Cricetulus griseus: one gene and its partners. The protein of the gene in region 1 binds, or shares a complex with, the protein of each later gene. Links are inferred from orthologs where the notes say so. Each region holds a gene or a part of one and is shown in the gene's direction. Other genes may lie near its edges. The genes, in order: Cltc, Arrb1, Cltb, Gtse1 and Dlgap5.

What was found.
Region 2: the proteins of Cltc (region 1) and Arrb1 are in contact, whole or in part, in a crystal structure (PDB 3GC3), measured with the Bos taurus proteins. The link is inferred for Cricetulus griseus from reciprocal best matches to the Homo sapiens genes CLTC and ARRB1. Residues at the interface, in NP_776448.1 of Bos taurus: His12, Leu13, Gln14, Gln16, Asn17, Leu18, Gly19, Val50, Asn56, Asp57, Pro58, Ser59, Asn60, Ile62, Arg63, Arg64, Pro65, Ile66, Ser67, Ala68, Lys78, Ile80, Leu82, Lys83, Ala84, Thr87, Gln89, Phe91, Asn92, Ile93; in NP_776668.1 of Bos taurus: His30, Ile31, Asp32, Leu33, Val34, Glu35, Pro36, Pro96, Thr98, Arg99, Tyr173, Pro175, Lys355, Thr374, Asn375, Leu376, Ile377, Glu378, Leu379, Asp380.
Region 3: the proteins of Cltc (region 1) and Cltb are in contact, whole or in part, in a cryo-EM structure (PDB 6SCT), measured with the Sus scrofa proteins. The link is inferred for Cricetulus griseus from reciprocal best matches to the Homo sapiens genes CLTC and CLTB. Residues at the interface, in NP_001139599.1 of Sus scrofa: Gln1291, Arg1293, Gly1294, Phe1296, Lys1326, Phe1327, Gln1354, Ala1355, His1356, Pro1382, Thr1383, Glu1413, Phe1414, Lys1415, Pro1416, Leu1417, Gln1444, Pro1446, Leu1447, Thr1473, Glu1474, Glu1475, Glu1503, Leu1504, Ile1505, Arg1508, Leu1533, Lys1535, Met1538, Lys1562; in XP_005661527.2 of Sus scrofa: Pro100, Ser102, Trp106, Gln110, Leu114, Ser121, Thr124, Glu125, Trp128, Arg129, Ala132, Asp135, Leu136, Trp139, Val147, Asn150, Lys151, Asn154, Arg155, Asp158, Tyr162, Glu191, Trp192, Lys194, Val195, Leu198, Cys199, Asp200, Phe201, Cys209.
Region 4: the proteins of Cltc (region 1) and Gtse1 are in contact, whole or in part, in a crystal structure (PDB 6QNP), measured with the Homo sapiens proteins. The link is inferred for Cricetulus griseus from reciprocal best matches to the Homo sapiens genes CLTC and GTSE1. Residues at the interface, in NP_004850.1 of Homo sapiens: Val50, Arg64, Pro65, Ile66, Ser67, Ala68, Leu82, Lys83, Ala84, Thr87, Gln89, Phe91, Asn92, Ile93, Lys96, Ser97, Lys98, Asp143, Arg144, His145, Trp164, Gln182, Leu183, Tyr184, Ser185, Arg188, Lys189, Val190, Ser191, Gln192; in NP_057510.5 of Homo sapiens: Ser686, Arg687, Pro688, Leu689, Ile690, Asp691, Leu692, Met693, Ser707, Pro708, Val709, Val710, Gly711, Gln712, Leu713, Ile714, Asp715, Leu716, Ser718.
Region 5: the proteins of Cltc (region 1) and Dlgap5 are in contact, whole or in part, in a crystal structure (PDB 7ZX4), measured with the Homo sapiens proteins. The link is inferred for Cricetulus griseus from reciprocal best matches to the Homo sapiens genes CLTC and DLGAP5. Residues at the interface, in NP_004850.1 of Homo sapiens: Val50, Arg64, Pro65, Ile66, Ser67, Ala68, Leu82, Lys83, Ala84, Thr87, Gln89, Phe91, Ile93, Lys96, Ser97, Lys98; in NP_055565.3 of Homo sapiens: Gly833, Asn834, Leu835, Ile836, Thr837, Phe838, Ser839, Pro840, Leu841.

The regions. Positions count from the first base shown.
Region 1 is NC_048600.1:99,949,370-99,953,234, reverse strand, and holds part of Cltc (clathrin heavy chain 1), read left to right. Parts: intron 1-443; coding exon 444-586; intron 587-834; coding exon 835-1,069; intron 1,070-2,667; coding exon 2,668-2,790; intron 2,791-3,865. UniProt on the Homo sapiens protein: Clathrin is the major protein of the polyhedral coat of coated pits and vesicles. Two different adapter protein complexes link the clathrin lattice either to the plasma membrane or to the trans-Golgi network.
Region 2 is NC_048596.1:99,980,023-99,984,462, reverse strand, and holds the start of Arrb1 (beta-arrestin-1), read left to right. Parts: upstream 1-1,470; 5' UTR 1,471-1,692; coding exon 1,693-1,748; intron 1,749-4,394; coding exon 4,395-4,425; intron 4,426-4,440. UniProt on the Homo sapiens protein: Functions in regulating agonist-mediated G-protein coupled receptor (GPCR) signaling by mediating both receptor desensitization and resensitization processes.
Region 3 is NC_048596.1:273,637,872-273,642,319, reverse strand, and holds the start of Cltb (clathrin light chain B), read left to right. Parts: upstream 1-1,364; 5' UTR 1,365-1,463; coding exon 1,464-1,653; intron 1,654-4,448. UniProt on the Homo sapiens protein: Clathrin is the major protein of the polyhedral coat of coated pits and vesicles.
Region 4 is NC_048595.1:382,678,461-382,682,325, forward strand, and holds the end of Gtse1 (G2 and S phase-expressed protein 1), read left to right. Parts: intron 1-654; coding exon 655-891; intron 892-2,034; coding exon 2,035-2,245; intron 2,246-2,639; coding exon 2,640-2,855; intron 2,856-3,287; coding exon 3,288-3,371; 3' UTR 3,372-3,699; downstream 3,700-3,865. UniProt on the Homo sapiens protein: May be involved in p53-induced cell cycle arrest in G2/M phase by interfering with microtubule rearrangements that are required to enter mitosis. Overexpression delays G2/M phase progression.
Region 5 is NW_023276807.1:203,456,445-203,460,309, reverse strand, and holds part of Dlgap5 (disks large-associated protein 5), read left to right. Parts: intron 1-2,539; coding exon 2,540-2,733; intron 2,734-2,910; coding exon 2,911-2,973; intron 2,974-3,865. UniProt on the Homo sapiens protein: Potential cell cycle regulator that may play a role in carcinogenesis of cancer cells. Mitotic phosphoprotein regulated by the ubiquitin-proteasome pathway.

The DNA.
Region 1 (3,865 bases):
TAGTTGAAGGAGTTGTGAAATCTAGGAACCAAACCCCAAGCACGTGTCTTAAACAATGTTAGATTTAGGTTTTAGAAACTTTGTCTTTTAACTTTAAAGGTATTCTAGCAGGGCTTTTTTGCTGTAATTGAAGCTTTTGCACTTGGTAATCTTCCATGGTTGTCTTGGCTGCTGTTGGTTTTGTACTTAGCATTTGGAGTAATCCTTAGGTAGAACTAAGTAAGCAAACCAACATGGGAGTCTATGGGGCAAGTGCTTTCAATTCTGACCAGACTCTGGGGCCTTTCTAAAAGTGGACTTACGCTGATAAATCTCTGCATCTGACTGGAAATTTAGATTCACAGTTTATGGGCTTTAAAAAGAAAACGGTCTTTTAGATTTTTAAGTCAGTTTTGCTTGTTGATGAAATGATGTGCTTTTTATTTTCTCTTTTCTAAACCTAGGTAAATCCAAGTCGACTCCCCGTGGTTATTGGAGGGTTGCTTGATGTTGACTGCTCAGAAGATGTTATTAAAAATTTGATTCTCGTTGTGAGAGGTCAATTCTCTACTGATGAGCTTGTGGCTGAAGTTGAAAAAAGAAACAGGTGTAGTACTATTTTTCCACATTACAACAGATGACCTTGCAGCCCCAGTAGTGTAGTAATAGCTGACATACAGCTGACTGATGATCTGAAGCTGCTCGGCAGCTAATGGAAAGGGCTCAGGCTAGCTTTCAGAGTTGAAATTGGCCTTTTTTTTTTTTTTTTTCCCTGAAATGTGACTATATTTCTATAGTTACCAGAGGATTGTGCCGTTTGTAACATAGCATGTTGGGGCTTTGTTGTTTCACTAGATTGAAGCTGCTTCTACCTTGGCTTGAGGCCAGAATTCATGAGGGCTGTGAGGAACCTGCTACTCACAATGCATTAGCCAAAATATACATCGACAGTAATAACAACCCTGAAAGGTTTCTTCGTGAAAACCCCTATTATGACAGTCGTGTTGTTGGAAAGTATTGTGAGAAGAGAGACCCACATCTGGCTTGCGTCGCTTATGAACGTGGCCAGTGTGACCTGGAACTCATCAATGTAAGTACTACTTGCTGAGCATGTGCAAAGGCGGCTGTATCCCTTTAACTGCTTGTATTTTTGACTAGCAAAATTTGAATTTCTGTATGATTTTAGGTATTTTGGAGCAGTTCTGGGCAGAGAGGTGCTTTTTTAAAACTTTAACTGGAAATAAGTAGTAAACCTAAATGTGCTCAAAATGTAAAGTGTGTATATACTCTTTCCTGATCTGGCATGTTAACTCTATTAGCTTTACCTGTTCTTGTACATGGTCATACATACCTGAACATAGCATTTTACCTGTTACATACTTCATGGATTTGTGCCCCTTTGAGCTCTATTTTCTAAGGATGAAAAAGTATCTTCACATAGATACTAGCTACAGTCAATATGACATTAGGTACTTTGAAGGATCTGTTTTCTTTCAGTGTTGTCAGGTTTTTGTGTAGTTTAGGATCATAATTATGTCCTCTGTAGTATTTTTATAATGAATCAGTTCTTAGAAATGTATTTTTTTTTTAATGATGGATACCTTTGCTAAACTCCTAATTTTATTTGTATTCTCTTAAAAAATTTTATTTGTGGAATAAAAGCCAAAATTTCCATTTTTAAAAATGTCTTTTTAAAAAAAGACATTTATTTATTATATATATAGTATTCTGCTTGCATGTTTGTCTGCAGGCCAGAAGAGGGCACCACATCTTATTACAGATGGTTGTGAGCCACCATGTGGTTGCTGGGAATTGAACTCAGGACCTCTGGAAGAGCAGTTATTGCTCTTACCTTTGAGCCATCTCTCCAGCCCCCAAAGTTTTCAATGTGAAGTAAACAATTAAGTGGCTATTAGTTAATACACAGTGTTACATAATCACTATTCTTGCCCACCTTTCAGGGTCTCATCATTAAGGAAGAGGTCCTCTTTTCAGTAAAGCTTCTCTATACTCCTGCTTCCCACGAACCCTCACAAATGACAAATCACACTGAACCCCTGTGGGTTTGTCTGTTCTGTATGTTCTGTAAACTAAATGTTTATTTTATTTTATTTTTTGCACATGCATGTGGAAGTTGGGGACAATTTGTAGGAATCTGTTGTCTCCTTCAACTGTATGTGTGCCTGGCCAAAAGTAAAGCATTTCTCATTTTGAGTTTCCCTGTATTACTTCCTAGCCTTTGGGCTACAATCAAGTACTTCTGTAATGGTTCTCTGTGGTGGGATTTAGATCACACACTTCTACTGGGAATACTCTTGCTCCCACCCCACCCTATAATTTAAAGTAATACAATATTAATAATGTTTTAACATCGAAAGTAAGCTGAGTATGGTAGTGAATGTGTGTAATTCCAGCAGGGAGATAGGTTTTTGAAGCTCTGGTACATGAGACCACCATCTCAAAAAAGTAAGCAGATTGTATAATGGAATCCTTTCTTAAAGCCCCTGAAACTTTTTTTTTCCTTTGTTGGGTTTCCATGAGAATATGTGACTGGCATCCCTAAGAGATTATATAGAAGTAATAGATTTCTTACAAAACAAAGAGTTGACATGATTGCAAATAACGTTCAGAGTCATCTGCAGTCTTTTTACTTTTTGTGTTGAAATTAACCCTTGCTATTTTCATTAGGTTTGCAATGAGAATTCCCTGTTCAAAAGTCTTTCCCGCTACTTGGTCCGTCGAAAAGATCCAGAATTGTGGGGTAGTGTGCTACTGGAAAGCAATCCATACAGAAGACCACTAATTGACCAGGTAAAAATGGCAAAAATGGTTCCCTTCCTTTTGACTTGGAATACTTTCCTCTCATTATATACCTAGATAAACTCAAATGAGTCATTTAACTATAGCAGAAAGCAGAAGTTAAAGAACATTAAAATTATATTAAATAAATACAAAATTATACATAGATATACATTAAATTTAAGGAAAGAGAAATCTAAAAATGTAATTATCTTAAGTTCATCATCATTAAAAGGAAATAAATTAGGATTGACTACAAATTACTACCTGAAAAGTTGACTAAATTGAAGACGTTTAAAACATCTCTTCTTGTAAGTCAGCACACAATAAGAATTGATAATATATAATACAAAAATCCAAGTGACTTGGAGGAGGGGAGATGATGACTATGAGTGAATCATGAGCCTATCTCCAATTCTTTTTTAAAAGTCCAAGTAAGTGTCATGGAGATGGTTCCATTGGCAAGCACGAAGACCTGAGTTCACATCCATCCCTATCACCCACATACAAGCTGGGCTTAGGGGTCCCTGTATTTAACCCTAGTCATAAGTAGACAGAGACAGGAGGACCTCTGGGACATCCTGGTCAGCTAGTGCAGTCAAAGTGGATGAGCTCCAGCTTTAGGGAGAGACTTCTATCAAAAGTAGAGAGTGAGCGGGCTGGAGAGATGGCTCAGAGGTTAAGAGCACCGACTGCTCTTCCAGAGGTCCTGGGTTCAGTTCCTGCAACCACATGTTGGCTCACAACCATCTATAATGAGATCTGGTGCCTTCTTCTAGTGTGCAGATATACATGGAAGCAGAATGTTGTATACATAATAAATAAAATCTTTAAAAAAAAAATAGAGAGTGAGCAAGACACCTGGTATCAAGACACTTTGATACATGCACATGCACCTGAACGCATTGATGCACACAACCACAGTAATAGTACCTAATAGCACACACAATGCTCAAATCAATCATAGTGAATCTAACTAAAGTACCACAGTACACAAGTTTTTATACCTATATGATAATTGCAATCTCAAATTTAAAGTGCTAGTTATTGCTCATTATTATAATGATTCTTAAATTCCTCTGATAGA
Region 2 (4,440 bases), on another chromosome or scaffold:
GCTATGTGGCAATGGGTAATGATGGTTGCAGATGGGCTTCAGGCTGCTAATCCGATGACCTTAAAACAGAGAGATCATTCTGGATTACCCAGATGGTCCCTGTGTCATCTCAATGGTTTTCAAAAGGAAAGGGAGGGCAGATCTGAGTGATGCCGTATATAATGAGAAGGCCACCTTCTCTCATTGACTTTGAAGATGGAGGAAGGAGGAGGCTTCCAGAAGCCAGAGAGAGTAGGAAGCAGATTTGCCCTAGAACCCCCCAGAAGTAATCAAGGGCTGCTGACACCTTGATTTTAGCTCAAGGAAGCCCACTTGAATTTCTGAAGCACAGAACTCTAGTTAAGTTTGTGTTGTTTGAAGCCACTGAATTCGTGGGACTTTGTAAATAGCAGCCACAGAAAATGAGCTTGAAGGGTTTGGGGACCCATGGATGGTTCCTTCTGTGCCTCTGGCTGAAAGTGGCATGTGACATTTGCACCCGCATTTCATTGGTCAGAATAAGCCACAGGGGGGCGTCCAACTCCACAGGAAGGAAGATGCCTGGCATCCCATACATCCAGCCTCAGGGAATCCTGGTGCCTGTAGGGAGTATCTAGTACATCTTTGTTGCCTGTAGCACTTGTTTCTATAGTCTAGTCCATCCCATTTCATTAAAAATCAAAAAATAAAGCCAGGTGTAGTGGCACTTATGAGGCTGAGGCAGGAGGATCTCTGAGTTTGAGGCTAGCTTGGTCTACATAGTGTGTTTCAGGATAGCTAGAGCTACATTTGTGAGACCCTGTCTTGAAAACAAACAACCAACCTCAAAATATAATCAGGCATAGGAGCGCATGTCTTTAATCCCAGCACCTGAGAGGCAGAGGCAGGAGAATCACTGTGAGTCTGAAGCCAGCTTGTTTGTATTTGAGTTCCAGGACCCTGCCTCAAAAAAAAGGATCTCTGTGTATGTACGTACTGTATGTGTATGTGTGCGTAGAGGCTAGAGGTCAACTATGGATGTCTTCCACTATCATTCTTCACCTAATTTTTTGAAACAGGGCCCATCACTAAACATGGAGCTTTCTGTGAACCCAGAGCTCTTTATGTAGGCCAGACTGTGTGGCCACAGAAGCCCCCGGGATCTGCCTATCTTTGCCTTCCCAGTGCTGAGGTTACAGGTGCAGCCTGCCACATATAGCTTTTACATGGGTACTGGGCATCTGAACTCAAGTCCTCATGCTTGTGAAGCAGGCGATTTATCCACTGAGCCAGCTCTCCGACCTGTAATGTTTTAAGTAGGTTTCCTAATCAACCAGTGACTTGCAACCTCTGGTTTGGACAATACTAATCTCCAGAGCCTCTTCTGCTCATGCTTCATGGACCACAGGCTATGTCCTGGACACAGGTGATTGGGCCAGGGGGTGGGGTACCTAATCAAAGCTGACCAATCAGATTCCTCTCCTGGGAATTTGGAATTGGGCCATTCAGTCAGTTAGCAGCGGGAAGCTGAGTGAGAGGCAGGGTAGAAACAGGGTTGGAGTGTGAGTCACATGCGAGCCCAAAGGATGGAGGAGCAGAAAAATCCCTGAGTAAGCGGGGCGCGCTGGTCCACAGAGACAATGGAGCAGCCGCACAGACAGCCTCGCAGCCAGGAGGCCCTGCAGCAGCCCCAGAAGGAGCGGTGGAGACAGGGAGCTACGGCTTGAGGCTCCGATGGCGTCCCCATTCTCAGCTCCGGCCCCAGCGCATCCTGCCTGCTCATCCTTCCCGTGAGATTTTGGCCTCCTTATTAGGACCTCCTCTTCTTTCTCGAGCTATCCTGAACCTTAACCAGGAAGGACACTGCTGGTCTTTCTCTTTGGGGAACCCAGCTGTGACTAAGGCTCAGGTTGTGGGGCACAGGCAAGGCTGGGGGTGAACAGACGCAGCTGCTCAGCAAGGCTGGCTGGGATTGTGGGCTTAGGTTAGGCCACGGGCAGAGAGGTCTATGCGGTGTTGCACACGTGGGGTTGTGGAAACGGAAAATACCCCATAGAGCCTCTTTTCTGACAGTGTTGGGGCAAGAAGTGAGTGGAGTTTTGAGTGGTGGTGCTTGGCTATGTGATGGAGTGGTTGAGTCTCGTGGGTGCCTCTTCGAGCCTCAATGTCTCCATCTTTGAAATGGGATTGTCCAGGAAGAGCCTTGTCCTGGGAAAAGTACTTAAAGGCATGAGTGGGGAATAATAAACAGACAGAGAATGAGGCAGCTGCTCTTGTTGTTTGAGGAAGCCACAAGAGTCCTGGCTTCCTGAAGGAGGTGGCCTCGGGTGCTGACTAAGGTAGTGGCAGGACATTCCCCACTGATGGCTGTGCTTCCTGCCCCTCTTCAGCCCCACTCTGCCCCTCACCCCAGTCACCTTTCATTTATCCCTCTCTCCCTCCCCTCTTGTCTGTTCTTCCTGCCGTTTTGAAACATGGATTTAGGAAACAGTGGGTTGGATTAAGGCACCAATCTCTGGAGGCCCAGTCAGAAGTGAGTCTGGGTCCCGACCTAGCCCCTTGCTTGCTGTGCTCCTGGGCAAGTTAATGCATCGCTTGGAGCCTCCAGTTAATTATCTGTGGAGTGGGAGTTAGACTATCCTTTCTACTATGAGAAATAATGAGCTGCTCGGCAGAGCTTTAATTCCCCTCCCCTTTGCCTCTCTCCGCTGCTTGGTGAATATTGCTCCTCCTGGCCCCACGTGTGCCTCGTCCTTCCCGGCAGCCACTAGAGTGGCTTTCTCTCTCAGTTGTTTATCCTGCCTGGGTGTGAGATCTTTCCTTTTCCTTAGAGCACAGGCTACCAAGGGCTGGAGGTAATTGTGACTTGGAAGCCACAGGGTTTTCACTTCTCTGGTTTCCTGGAGAAACATGGAGCTCCTAGCTTCTAGCTTGGAGTTGCTGGTTCAGATGGAGTGGTCTGCATTTTTTTCCCCTTACTTTAACAATTATCACACCCTGGCCAGTTGTGGCTTCTTCACACTCCCAACACTGATAAATATTAATGAGAAGACAAGGCTCCCAGGGCCCCTAGGGGAATGTTTGGGGAGAGGCTGGGCCACGCTCTCCTTTGCAAGCAATACTCAGACCTGTCAATATTCCCTAGGTCCCAGAAGGGAGGGTGAGGCAGGGCCATGGCTGTGGAGACCCCACACAGTCACAGGCCTGGATGCCTGCAGATCAGCTTCTGGGAAGGATTGGGGCACACCCTGCTGAGGCTGCCTAGGGGTTTCACCTTTCTGGGTCTGTCCCATCTCTCCCTGCTTCAGGCTTTCTGATTCTTTCCCTGGTTTTCTTCTCCTCCTGTCTCTTGTTCATCTTTTATTTTCATACCTCTACCTCTGTCTCTCTCTTCTCTCTTCACACCTCCCCTCCTTTCAATACCTTTCCTCATCCCCATCTCTCTAGCTTTCACTTTTCTTCTGCCTCTCCCCAGTAATGGCTGAGAAATTGTGGGCTGGATAAAGGTACTTAGGCGAGGGAGACTCGGGTTCCCAGACACAGCTCTAGAAGGGGAAAGGTTGCCATGAAAGGCAAGTGGCACTCTTCAGGATTTAGGGACTACATTACCATCTAATCTCAGGCCCAGTGCTCTGCTATTCGAGCATAGGCATCTGCCCCCACATTCCTGTGCCTCTGTCCCTCAGTGAAGCAATGAAATTCATTCATTTATCTGTTCAACTAGTTTATATTGTACTCTTGCCACCCTCAATCATTTAACAAGTATTTCTTGAACAATAGTGACGTGTGCCTTTGTGTGTGTTTGGGATGTACCCGTGGACAGGAGAGACAGTGGGCATATTTGGAGCGGGCATGCCAGCAGAGCAGACAGGTGGGGCAAGAAGTAAAGTATATGGTCAGGGGGTTGCTGGGAAGAAAGGAAGAGTGAATCAAGAGAAGGACTGGCTGACAGGGGTAGTGGGATTGGGAAAGTGGGCATTTGGGAAGAGTGTCCAGGGTAAGAGAGTAGGGTAGGGGAAACTGGGAGCAAAGGCCTTGTGCAGCAATCACCTGGTGGATAAGGAACGAGGAACAGAGGGGCTGGAGAGCAGTGAGGCTGGAGACTAAGGGAGGGTGGCAGGAGGTGACATAGGGAGGGAAAGAGGCCAGGTCAGATCACTGGGACTTAGCAGGCACTGAAGGATTTTCCTTTACTCGAGCTGGGTGGGCTTGTGAGTCTCCCTCAGCCCACTCTGAAGGATTGAAGGAGGGCTGCAGGCAGCTAACATTCATCCTAGGAGGAGAGGTGGAAGGAAGGAAGCTGTCCTGCTCTGAGGCTTTGCTGGTCCCTGTAGGACACTCAAGGCCTTTATCTATGGCCCTGTCTAGGGTCGCCTGCAAGAGATTGGCTGGGCAGAATCCATTAACCCTGGCTTGGCCTCTCTTTCTTTTCACAGAGTGTTCAAGAAGGCAAGCCCCAATGGAAAGGTGAGTCTGTAGTGT
Region 3 (4,448 bases), on another chromosome or scaffold:
ATACATTAGTGTTGCTCTCAACTTTGGCCAGATAACCTTCTCTCTGCAGCGGTCAGCAGCTGATGCAGACCCATAACTAGTCAAAGTGCAGAGAATAAGCAATTGCCGAATGCCCAGCGCTGTGTGGGACATCGGAATCAACGCCACCAGCAAGGGCCAGGGAACACTGCAGAAGAGGAGGCAGAAAGAGTGTTACAAGGAGAGGCTGGGGACGAATGCTGGGAAATGCTGTTTGGGGGCTGACATCAACCACGTAACTTTCCACCAGGTGGCATTAATTGAACTCAGTGGGTTATTAACACAAAAAGGAGAGGCTATTAAGGGGGAGGGAGGTGTGTTGGGGATATCCCGGAGGAGTGAGATAGGAGAGAGGGGGTGCAAATGATCTGGATGTATTATTACTTGCATGTATGGAATTGTCAAAGAATTAAAAAAAATCCTCAAAAAAAAAAAAAAAAAAAAAGGTGCTATAGGTGCTATGAGCCCTGCATCTGGAAGGATGAGGCAGGAAGGTTTGAAACCAGACTCACCTATATAAGAATTCGAGGTCAGCCTAGCCTATGGCTATAATAAAAAATCAAAATAAATAAATAAATAAGAAAGAAAATGATGATTGAGGTGGGAGTGTGAGGCCTGGCATAGCATCGGCAGTCTCAAAACATATATTAATTACCAAGGAAAATAGCAACTTTACTGTGGAGAAAGCAGGCTCCACCTTAACAGAGTGAGTGACCAACGTGAGCGTAATTAATCAATAAAAGGACAAACTGACATTCTGCGCTAAGAACCGGGGGTCACTTTAAATCTGAATAACTATAAAGAAATGTAAGAGCTCAAAAAAAAAAAAAAAAAAAAAATCACTTCCCAGAGCCAGAGGCAGGCAGATCTCTGTGAGTTCGAGACAAGCCTGGTTTAGAGAGTGACAGCCTGCAAAGCCACAGAGAAACCCTGTCTCGAAAAACCAAAGCAAACAACCGGCCTGCTGCCTTCATGAACACCAATGCCACCAGACACAGGGAGAGCGGACCCCTCCTAGTTTCAGGGGACCGTCACAAGATAGGGCGGCGGGATGCTACACCGGACCAAGTGATCAAGGCTCTGCTGCACCGACCGGGCTCGCGAGTCCTCCCAGCCTCAGTGTCCTCCTCCCACGCAGGAGGAGGACGATCGTGTCACGCCGCTCATAAAACCGGCTGCAGAAGAAGCTTTGGGTGGCCGCGCAGCCCCGGTGCTCGGGAGCCGGCTGGGCTAGCGTGCCACGGGGGAGTGGGGGGCGGGGGCGGGCCCCGCGGCAGGGGCGGGGCGGGGCGACCGGCGGGCCCCGCCCTCTCCGTGACGTCACCGCATTCCCGCCGCGGCTCCTCCCGCCGCCGCTGCAGCCGCAGTGACAGGCGAGCCGGGCGGGTGACGGGAAGTGCGGGCCGCGGGCGCGGGCGGGAGGTGACAGCAGCCACGCGGGGAAGATGGCTGAGGACTTCGGCTTCTTCTCGTCGTCGGAGAGCGGGGCCCCCGAGGCCGCCGAGGAGGACCCGGCCGCCGCCTTCCTGGCCCAGCAGGAGAGCGAGATTGCTGGCATCGAGAATGACCCGGGCTTCGGGGCACCTGCCGGCGGCGGCCAGGTGGCCTCTGCGCAGCCGGGACTCGCGAGCGGGGGTGAGTGAGTGAGTGAGTCAGCGCCGCGGCCTGGAGCCGGGGCTGCGGCGGCCAGCATCGCGGGCAGGAGGCCCGTCCCGGTCGCAGCCGGCCGGGGTCCCTGCAGTGGCCCGGGCCCGGCTGTCTGGGCTGGCCACGGGCACCCGGGGGCTGTGTGTGTCCGTGGGGCCTGGCACAGCAGGGGGGAGCCGGGAAAGGGAGCCGGGAAAGCGGCCGGAGTCCGGGCTGAGGCTGGATCCGCTGACTCTGGGGACAGGAATCCCGTCGTGACATTTTATCCCCAGGCCAGCGCCTCCACCGTGTGGCTCTGCAGTCCTCCCCCTGCTCGGCTCTGAGAGTCATTCTCTGTCCAGTGTCCTAGCGAAGTGGTACAGGTGTGGACGGACGGACGGACGCAGTCCTCCTGACCAGGGCCCAGCCTTCCTTCTGCTGGGAGGCAGGGGGCACTCCAGGACCACCTGCTGCCCTGCAGCGCTGGAGGAGACATGTTAATTACATTTAGTAATTTCACACACACGCTCCTGAATCCATTTCAGAACTGGCCACAGGAAGCCTCAAAAGGTACGCTATTCAAACAGCTAGGAAGTAGCGGTCAAGTATTAAACCCATTCTGTCCGATTCTGAGTCCTTCGTATCCTGACCACACAGTCTTCCGTGTGTCGGGCTGTATGTAAGTCTGGACAGGGGCACAAAGGGCTATGAGTCCTACCCTTCCTGTTTGTAACCGTGTTTGGTGGATTTACGAAGGTGGTCCAGGACCTTTGTGGATGGTTTCAGACATAAGGGTGCAGGACCTGTTTCCTGCAATGTTATGTTTATCATTTATATTTCTGCCTCAAGGAACAATTTGTTAAATTTGTTAAATCCTGGGTACACGCCTAATAGACCTTGTTTCCTATGTTTTGTTGTAAGTCTAGAGAGGTTTAGTGGGCTTGTTGCAAATGAATATTACATGTATATGTTCACAAGGCTCTTTAACAGTCAGATCTCTTTCACTGAACGTTTTGCTGTGCTGCCATCCCCACTGGGGACACAGAATGAAGGAACCGGATCTATGGCTGAGGGGTTGAGTCAACTCTGCCAGGAGAAATGCAGTAACCCTTTTGTGACACACAAGAAACTGGAGTTTGAGGGGTTATCACCACAGCTCAGTGGGTAAAGGTGAACTGGTCTGATGACACCTGAGTTTGGTTCCTGGAACCCACATGTAAGAGAGAACTCACTGTCACACATTTGTGCACCGAAAACACACACACACACAAACACACACACACACACACACACACACACACACACACACACACGCACATATGAGTAAACAGTATAAATAATAATAATTAAAAGAAGAAGAAACTGGAGTTTGAGTATCTTGCCTAAGTTCACACAGCCATGAGTTGTGGCTCTGGGCACTTGATTTCAGTCCTCCTAGCTCCATACTATGTTATTCCAAAAACTGAGTAGTTCTGCCTAGAAGATGACAGAATGTGGCATGGAGAAGCAGGGACCTAACTAAGCCAGCCGTGCAGGCTCTCGGTTCTTCAGCACAGGCCCTTTATTTTCTCAGGGAACCTGCCCAGGCTCCTCCATGGAACTTACTTGTCCCCATATCAGGAGGTCTTTAGAAACTCATGAGAAAGACAGATGGAGTTCAGGCTGAGGATAGCCCTAGGGTCTGGGACTTAGCAAGCTGTGGTCTTTTCAGGGACTTAGAGCTGGACGGGAGTGCACTGTCTGATTAGGTTTGCTATGAGATGACAGGGAAAGAGACAGTGAGTGATAATCCTTTGGGAAGCTGCCAGGGACACAGCCCTCTGAGAGTCTTCCAGACTCCTACACGTGATGTTGCAGGTGCCCAGCTGCCCTCCTGAGTGGCATTTTGAGGAACAAGGAGGTACTTCAGGAGCAGAGCTCAACGGGTGTGAGGCACAAACAGAATGCACCTGATGCTCTTAAGCCTAGGCAACGCTAGGCAGCCATCCTTTTCTGAGCAGCAGGGATTGGCAGGAGCCTTGGTGGTCTGAGGGAAATGGCTTGGGCCTTCTGGGAGCTGGGAAGAAGCAGGCTCCAACAGCAGCCACCAGTGCAAACTGAGTTACCTCCCCTTAGACGATGGGGTCTTCTGATGAGCAGCTCCTATGCTGACTTAACTAATGCGGGCTCTCAGGAGGCCCTGGGGAAAATCCTGTCTGGCCCCAACTGAGCCTGCTCTGGTAGCAGATCTGCAGCAGGCTTGGGGCATCGACACTTTGTTTCCATTCATCAGCCTTGGGTAGGGCCCAAATGGGCTACATTTTCACACCCAGTGTTCCGGGCTCTTGGCCTGCCTGACTTGTGGGCCAGCTCTGTGTAATCCTGTTGCCCCTGCTGGGCCTCAGTAAGCTCACAGGAATGTTCTGGATTCCCAAATGGGTCAGGCATCTGAGGAGGTCCCACACGGAACAGCTTATCCTTGGGGCTTGTGTTTGCCTTGCTGTATTTATTCTGTGGGCTCTGTTGTGGACTCAGGATCATAAATGTGTAAGAGCCAGAGAACACTGTGGAATAGACACTGGTGATTCTGTGAGTGGGTGTGTATACAGTCCCCAGGAGGCTGACAATGCTCCATCTTTCTGGAGGCTGAGGTGGGCACCAGGAAACTCATGTGGCCTTGACAGGAGAGGTAGTGCAACTTCTCCAAAGGTGTTGCCACAGAATCAGGAATGGTCCCTGGCAAGTGTGCTACCACTCATACCTGTTTGGGCTCACCCTCATTTAGAGAGCTGGCTTCCTGTTCAGTAGAAACCCTATCTGAGTGG
Region 4 (3,865 bases), on another chromosome or scaffold:
ACAGATGGAGTGTCTGTGGGTCCATTGCTTGACTCATCATGTCTTCACATGGTGTCGGGAGCCTTCTTTATAATGGCATTAATCCTATTGATTGGGGCTCTGCCTTCTGACTTAATCACCTCCCAGAAGACCTGTCTCCTATGTCATCATCCTGGGGCTAAGTTTCAACATATGAATTTGGGGGATGGAAACATTTAGTCCATAGCCTCTGGTTTAAGAACAACAAAGTAACATTTGGAACAGATGGTGGTTAAGGCATGGGAACTGCCAGGAAGCACTGTTCCCTGACTCAGTTCTCACCTTTGATGGGGATCTTAAACCTGGGTATGGCTGGGCAAGTGGTGAAAACCACCATGTTTACCTGCCGGAGTGATGGGAGCCCAGATGTCTTTTTAGAGAAAATCTCCTGGAATGAGTATCTCCTTAAGTCCCTCTGACTCTTCCATGGATGGCACCATAAAGGCAGCCATGTTCAAAGATGTAGTTACCTGTGGGGCAGGGTGGAGGCATTGTTTGCAGAGGAACCTGGAACTCATCCAAGGTCTCCTGGGGGCTGCCACCTTGAGTCCTGCCCATGCAGCCCCTTCCCAAGAACAGCCCACTCAGGCTCTATCCAACTTTGGTGTCTGTTTAAGATCTCCATGTCTTCACCAGGGTCCTCAGCAGCACCCCTGTGAGACGCTCATTGGGGCCCACTCAACAAGGGCTGCCCGGCAGTATGAGGACCCCTGTGAGCATGAGACGGATGTCAACACTGCCCACCCCTGCCAGTCGGCGCCTCTCTGGCCTTCCATTAATGGCACCTCAGTCCATGCCCAGGGCTCTGGCATCCCCACTCTGTGTGCCTGCCAGGCGACTTTCTTCTGAGCCCAGAAGAAGATCTACAGTCAGGTAAAAACAAGGGTTGAGTGAGCTTTTGTCTGTAGTTCCCCAGACCTCAGGGGTCCCTGTGCTGGTAAGGTACAGGCAGCAGATAGGAGAAATAGAAAAAGAAGCTCTGTGAAACACAAGATTCTGCTTGCAAATAGGCAGAGGTGTGTGGGGGGAAGCAGAGGTCCTGCATGTGTGCGCATGTGAGAGTCTGTTGTGTCTTATGTGTTTCTTGTGTCATGATGTGTGGTGTGTGTGTGTGTGGTGTGTGTGTGTGTGTGTGTGTGGTGTGTGTGTGTGTGTGTGTGTGTGTGTGTGTGTGTGTGTGTGTGTGTGTGTAAGCATAATGTGTGTGTGTGTGTGTGTGTGTGTGTGTGTGTGTGTGTGTGTGTGTGTGTGTATTCTGTTTTAGTTTGTGGATATTGCTACTGTTCACCGTTTCCACAGTTCATTTAGCTTTACCGCATCAGGTGCTCAGGGCTATGCTTGGTGCCAGATAGGAGACAAGAAATAGGCTGGACTAGAGGTTGTGCACGGTATACCAGGTGTACCCATTAGTGCCGGGCGTGTGGTAGACAGACTGCCGTGTCAGACCAGAGTGCAGGACCAGGCCTCCTGAGGGAGCAGTGGGAGGGCACTCCAGCAGCAGGCGATTGGCTCACCTAGGCCTGGAGGGGGCTAACCACAGCCTGTGGGCAGAGGTGGAACCCCTCCTATGTAATTTTAGTAGCTTTAAAGAAAAGGACTGATGCTGGCCGGGTGTTGGCACACGCCTTTAATCCCAGCACTTGGGAGGCAGAGGCAGGCGGATCTCTGTGAGTTTGAGGCCAGAGCGAGTGCCAGGACAGGCTCCAAAGCTACACAGGGAAACTCTGTCTCAAAAAAAAAAACAAAAAATAAAAAAATAAATAAATAAAAGAAAAGGACTGGCATGGCACAAGGTGACACTCAACTGATAACATTGGAGAAGTGAAAGGAGCCTTGGAAATCTCTGGGCCTCTTGCACAGAGATCAGGGTCTAACCATTGAGGTTGTCCTTAGAGTTAGGCCACTGGAGCAGGCCTCTGGCCCTGGTCGGGTGCTGCTTCAGCGATCGCTTTCACGCCATAGCTGATGAAAGGTGTGTTAGAAAGATCTTACAGCTTCCCCTACTCTCCTCCCCAGAGTGGAGCCGACCCAGGAGAGCAGGAGCAATGCCAATGGTGGGCAGGGCCAAGGTCAGTCCTCAGATGAGAGCTCTTCTGCTCCATCCTGTGTGCCTCAAGCACTTGACTTTTCTCCAAACAAGAGTGAATCTCCTCCTTCCCATGGCTCCACCACAGAGGCAGCTCAGGGTGAAACAGAGCCTCATGAAGACAACACAAGCCCCACTGAGGTACATGGAGCTGGCTGCAGTTATATGCCATCTGAGGTTCATGGAGAGTCACAGACAGGGACTCACAGTTCCTTTCCTCCTTCACCCTGTGGCTGGGCCTATGGTTTCAGCAGACTCGGGGGGGGGGGGGGGGGGGCTCAGGACTAGGGACTAAAGAAATGTTTGACAAAGGAGTTGGTGGGGGATCAGATGGTGGGAACAGGAGCAGGAACAAGCTGTGGATGGGGAGGGTACACTGCCGAGAGGGGAGTTTACTCCCACTCAGGGTCCACTCCAGCCTTTCCCTTGGGCCCCAGGCTGTGAGTCCTCAGTCATAGGCAAAGCCTGGCTTCCCAGGGTGGTGGCTGGGCACCAATGTGGTACTGGACTTCCCCTCTCTTCACATCCTGCCTAGGGTCTTCTCCTGGACATCAAGCTGGACCAACTCACCATCACTCCTGAAGCAGGAGGCAGAGACCTAGCTGACCGCCCTCTCATAGACTTCAGCAACACCCCTGAGTCCAACATGGCTTTGGGACCCAGCAGCTGGCCCCTGATTGACCTTGTAATGAATACTCCAGACATGGGTAGAAATGATGTGGGGAAACCTCCAAAGGCTGAGCTTGGGCAGGTGAGAAGCTGCAGGGAATTCATGCTGACTTCAGCTCAGGGTGCTATCAGACCTGGGCCCTGCATGGTGCCCTTGGGGCTCACAGCGCTTGTGTCTCGAACTCATGTTGGGCAGACTTGGCTTCTCTATGGTCACCCATTACCATCAGGCATCTTGCTGGACCTGGAGGAGCTCTCAGGGCAGCAGTCACATCCCCAACACCACATGTTCCTCCCTGCTGTGTCAGGGAGTCACACAGTGCTTATGGGTTTGATGGTTATCTAAGAGTCTTAGACACGGTGGTTGAGTCTCCTTGGCCTCGCTGCTGTGCTGAGTTGTTTTTCTGTCCCTGGGCTCCAAGTGGGACTGGATCAGCCACTGGACCTGCTTGTGTCTTTTGTGCAATGGCTTGCCCAGGCAACTGTGTTTACCTTGGTATCTGTTCTCTTCCAGCTGATTGACCTGGGTTCCCCACTGATCCATCTGAGCCCTGAGGCTGACAAAGAAAATGTGGATTCACCACTTCTCAAGTTCTGAGCAAAGCACAACTCTGCCCTTTACTCTGTTTATTTCTGTTGTGGCTTTAGGCCCATAGAAGCAAATTTTGAAAGGAACTGTATTTGATTCGGGGGAGGCTTGTGTCTGGAACGGTGCCCGGGTGGGATTCTCCACTGTGGATATAAGCAATCCACCTGTGTGGCTGTCCTGCTCCCTGCCTTTCCTCTAGGCTTGAACACACCTCTCTAAAAACTTTGTTTTGATTCTTTTGTATGTAAAATAGCAAATGACTGTTTGTAAACTTAAATTTGTTTGAAAAGTTAAATATTCCAGATTTAAATTAAATTATAAAGTACAGTATATTAAAGTATGCTTGATTTTTTTTTTATATACTTGATGTTTGGGCATGGAGCACTGTTTCCATTTCTCCAGACATTATAGGAGACTCATTATCCAGCCTTAATTTTATAAAATGTAGGATAATAAAACTAGTATAAACATCAGTCTCTGACCGCCTGTCATCCAGGCTGGCC
Region 5 (3,865 bases), on another chromosome or scaffold:
CTTTCATTATTGTAAGTACTTTTCCAAGTAAGTTGAAGTGGGTCTGGAGAGATGTCTCAACAGCTAAGAGTGCTTACTGTTCTTGTAGAGGACTTGGGTTCAGTTCCTGGCATGGAGGCTCACAACCCTCTGCAACTCCAGCTCCAGGGCATCTGATCTCCACAGGCTCCGGCATGCTTGTGGTTCACATACTCGGGCTTGTGTGTGTGGAGATCAGAGGATAGTGTTGTGGAGTTTAGCTCTCCTTCCACCATTATATTGGTTCCAGAGATCACAGTCAATGTTGTTAGTATTGCTCAGCAAACATTTCAGTCGTTGAGCTGTCTTCCTGGCCCCTAGAAGTTTTATTTTATAATTTTTCAGGATCAGTGTGGCCTGTGTACCCAGTGCATTTGAACCTGGTTTTATAAAAGGTGGTATTGGGGCTAGAAGATTAAAGTCTGCCTCCATGTCCAGCTCTCTTCCAAATTTGTCGTTTTTGTGATTCTGAAGAAATGTGAGGGGCAAAAGCTGAACAAAATAGTTGCCGGTTTTTGTTTCTTCTCATCTGAGGTGAATAGTACATATTTGAAGAAGAAAAAAGGAACTGGGCCTGTTTGGAGAGAGAGAATTACCTATCTACAGAGTTTTCAGGAAATAGAAAAGGCCTAGAGACTTTTTTTGTGGTCTGAACACAACTGAAATACAGAGTGAATATTGTAGCAGACAATAGTTTTAGGAAAGGGTATTTTAAAATTAAGAGTTCAATTTTGGACATGTTTTTCCTTTTTGGCCAGGTGGTGGTGGCACATGCCTTTAATCCCAGCATTTGGGAGGCAGAGGCAGGTGGTTCTCTGAATTCAAGGCCACCCTAGTCTCCAGAATGAGTTTCAGGATAGCCAGGACGGTTTCACAGAAAAACCCTGTCTCAAAAAAACAAAAACAAAAAATAATTTTAAATTAAAATAGAATTACCTCATTTTCCCTTCCCTTTCCTCCCTCCAGTTCTTAGGTATCATCCTTCCAAACCCTCCTGAACCCCCCCCCCAGTTGATAGCCTTATATTATTATTAAATACATATGCATTTATATGTATGTATGCACAAATATATAAATACTGCCTGCTGTTGGACATGTTGAAGTTATGCCTATTAGGCATGTAAGGAGAGATGATTTTAAGAAAATAATTGGGGGCCTGCTGTGGTGGCTCATGCCTTTAATCCCAGTACTCGGGAGGCAGAAGCATATTAAAGACATATAGTGAGACCCTGACTGAAAGCTGGGAAGAGTGAAGGAAAGCCAGATAGGAATGGGTTCAAAAGAGAATGGAAATATCACCTAGGATAATATTCTTGCTTCAAAGATTGAACTTGAGTCTAATAAAACCCTTAGATGTAATTTCTACTCTAGCAAAACGTGGGGGTTAGGAATAAGTGAAAAACTTGAAATAAGCAAAAACAAAAAAAAATCCCATCAAGGGCCCACATCTTTTGTGGGCTTGAACTGGGTCTAAGAACCTAATTAATGTGTGAGACAGTTCACAGAAAAGCTTATAAAATTTACATGGGGGGAGTTCTTCATAGAGAAAATGAAATTCAAAGAAATGGCCAAGGTATGATGCTTCTTAGACCAGAGGTCAGCAAACTTGTGAAGGAGGGACAGAACAAGGTAGTAAGTCCCAGGATTGTTGCTAAGAGACAAATTGAGGCTAAGGAGGCAAGGCTAATAATGGAAGAGCTGGTATATTCCAAAGTTGGAGCCCCAGTGAGGAAGGCTGTCCTCTTGGACTTTGTGTGTGAATGGCATCACTCCCAAAGACTTGTTTTGTTTGCAAAGTGTTAGGGATTGAACTTAGGGCCTCACCCAGGCTAGGCAGACAAGCAAGTGCTTTCCGCTGAACTGTAGACTCCCAAAAGAACCTTTTGTTTTTGGAGACCAGGTCTCAATAGATAGCCCTGTCTGGCCTGGCATTGCTAAGGCCAGGCTAGCCAAGACCCTTCGTTCCTCTTGCTTCTGTCTCTCAAGTGATAGATTGTAGGTATATGTCAAAAGATACCAACAACATTTTTCAAGCTTGTTGAATATAGGAAAAGGCAGACCAAGTGACCTGTTCTAAAGTTCTTTGAGTGATTCAGCCTGACATAATCAATGCACCAATATTTTTTCTAATTTTGCAAATGAAGGCATACACAATGACTACAGTTTTCAAACTGATTAGAGCTTGAAATAACTCGTTTTACAGTGTTAAGGAGTTAACAGGACAGGATTAAAAGCATTTCTTAGCAAATGAAATTAGACAAAATGTCCTTTTAGAAATTTGATGTAAGCCAGGCAGTGGTTGCACACTCCTTTAATCCTAGCACTTGGGAGGCAGAGGCAATCGGATCTCTGAGTTTAAGGCCAGCCTGGTTTACAGAGCAACAAAGGCTACACGGAGAGAAATCCTGTCTGGAAAAATAAGGAAAAAAAAAAAGAAGACCCAAAACAACCAAAAATGTTTTGGTAATAGTTTGTTTAAAATGTTTTATGGACTGTTGTTTGACACCCTTCTCCCCTTAAGAGTCAGAGAAAATGGTCCTGAGTGACCAAAGGAAACAGCTCCTTCAGAAATACAAAGAAGAAAAGCAACTTCAAAAACTGAAAGAGCAACGAGAGAAAGCTAAGCGAGGCGTGTTTAAAGTGGGGCTCTACAGACCTGCTGCACCTGGCTTTCTCATCGCAGACCAGAGGAGTGTGAAAGCTGAGCCAGAAAAGGTGTGTTTATGGTTTTAACTTAAAACAGACAGTCAATTCCTTTAATTTTGCAACAAAACAAATAACTACTTAATTTAGGGGAAAGTTTCAATTTTAAACTGAGACATGGAATAAATTTTGCCTGTTTGTTTGTTTGTTTTTTAAATTGATCTTTTTTTTTTTTTTAACTTTTTAAAGGTTTGTCCATACAATGGGCGTATTACAAGATCAAAGGCCAGAGACCATATGGAACACACTAAGGTATCATTGTGTAAAGATAATTGCTACGAAAATAACATATTGTACCGTTTTCCCCCTTCAAAAATTTGTAATTCCATATTCAACCAAAAATCAGTTGCAGACATAGTGATTTATTTGTCTGAATTGAAAGTATGAAAATCAGTGGTGACTTAGAACAGTTTCTGGCTAGATGCCAAGAAAGTTTGCACTCACAATATCCTTTGCATAAGCATCTCTTAATGTAATCCATCCCAGACTTCATCTTTATGCTGCTGTTTGTTTACTGTGCTGCTAGTATGCATTGCAAACTAACTGCATGAAATGCAGATCAGAGTGAGAAAAGCACAGAGTGGACTTCAATACATTTCTGGGTCCTCTAAATACAGCAATGAAGGAAGGCTTTGGGAGAGGATTAAGTATGTTAGGTGGGAATTGGGCATGACTTTTTGTCAAGTAAAGAAGCTAAGTTTCATGTTTTTAATATTGGAGACATTGTCATGTTCCTTTAACTTCTCTAGCCTCTGGGATACTTACAGTACTGAATAAAATTCTGGGGGGGTTTGGTGCTACTGTAGGCCTAGAAATAAAATCGGTATGGGAGATGGGAGATGGCAGGAAGCGAAGACATTGAGTGACATTTTAGTTGGAGTAGTTCAGGAAAGCTTTGCTGAGATGCTTACAAGTGGGGTGAAGTCTTAAAGGAAGTGAGGGAACCCCAAGAAAAAGCTTTCTGCCTAGGAGAAATGGAAATGTAAAATTCAGAGATTTTTTTGCTGTTGTAATTTGTTTTTTTTCTGCCCCCAGCAGTGTTGGGGGAATCAGAGAGGCCAAGGATCCATCAGTGCAGGTTAGGCACACTCCATACCACCAAGCAACTAACTAGACTATGGTGCATGAGCCACTCACCATTCAT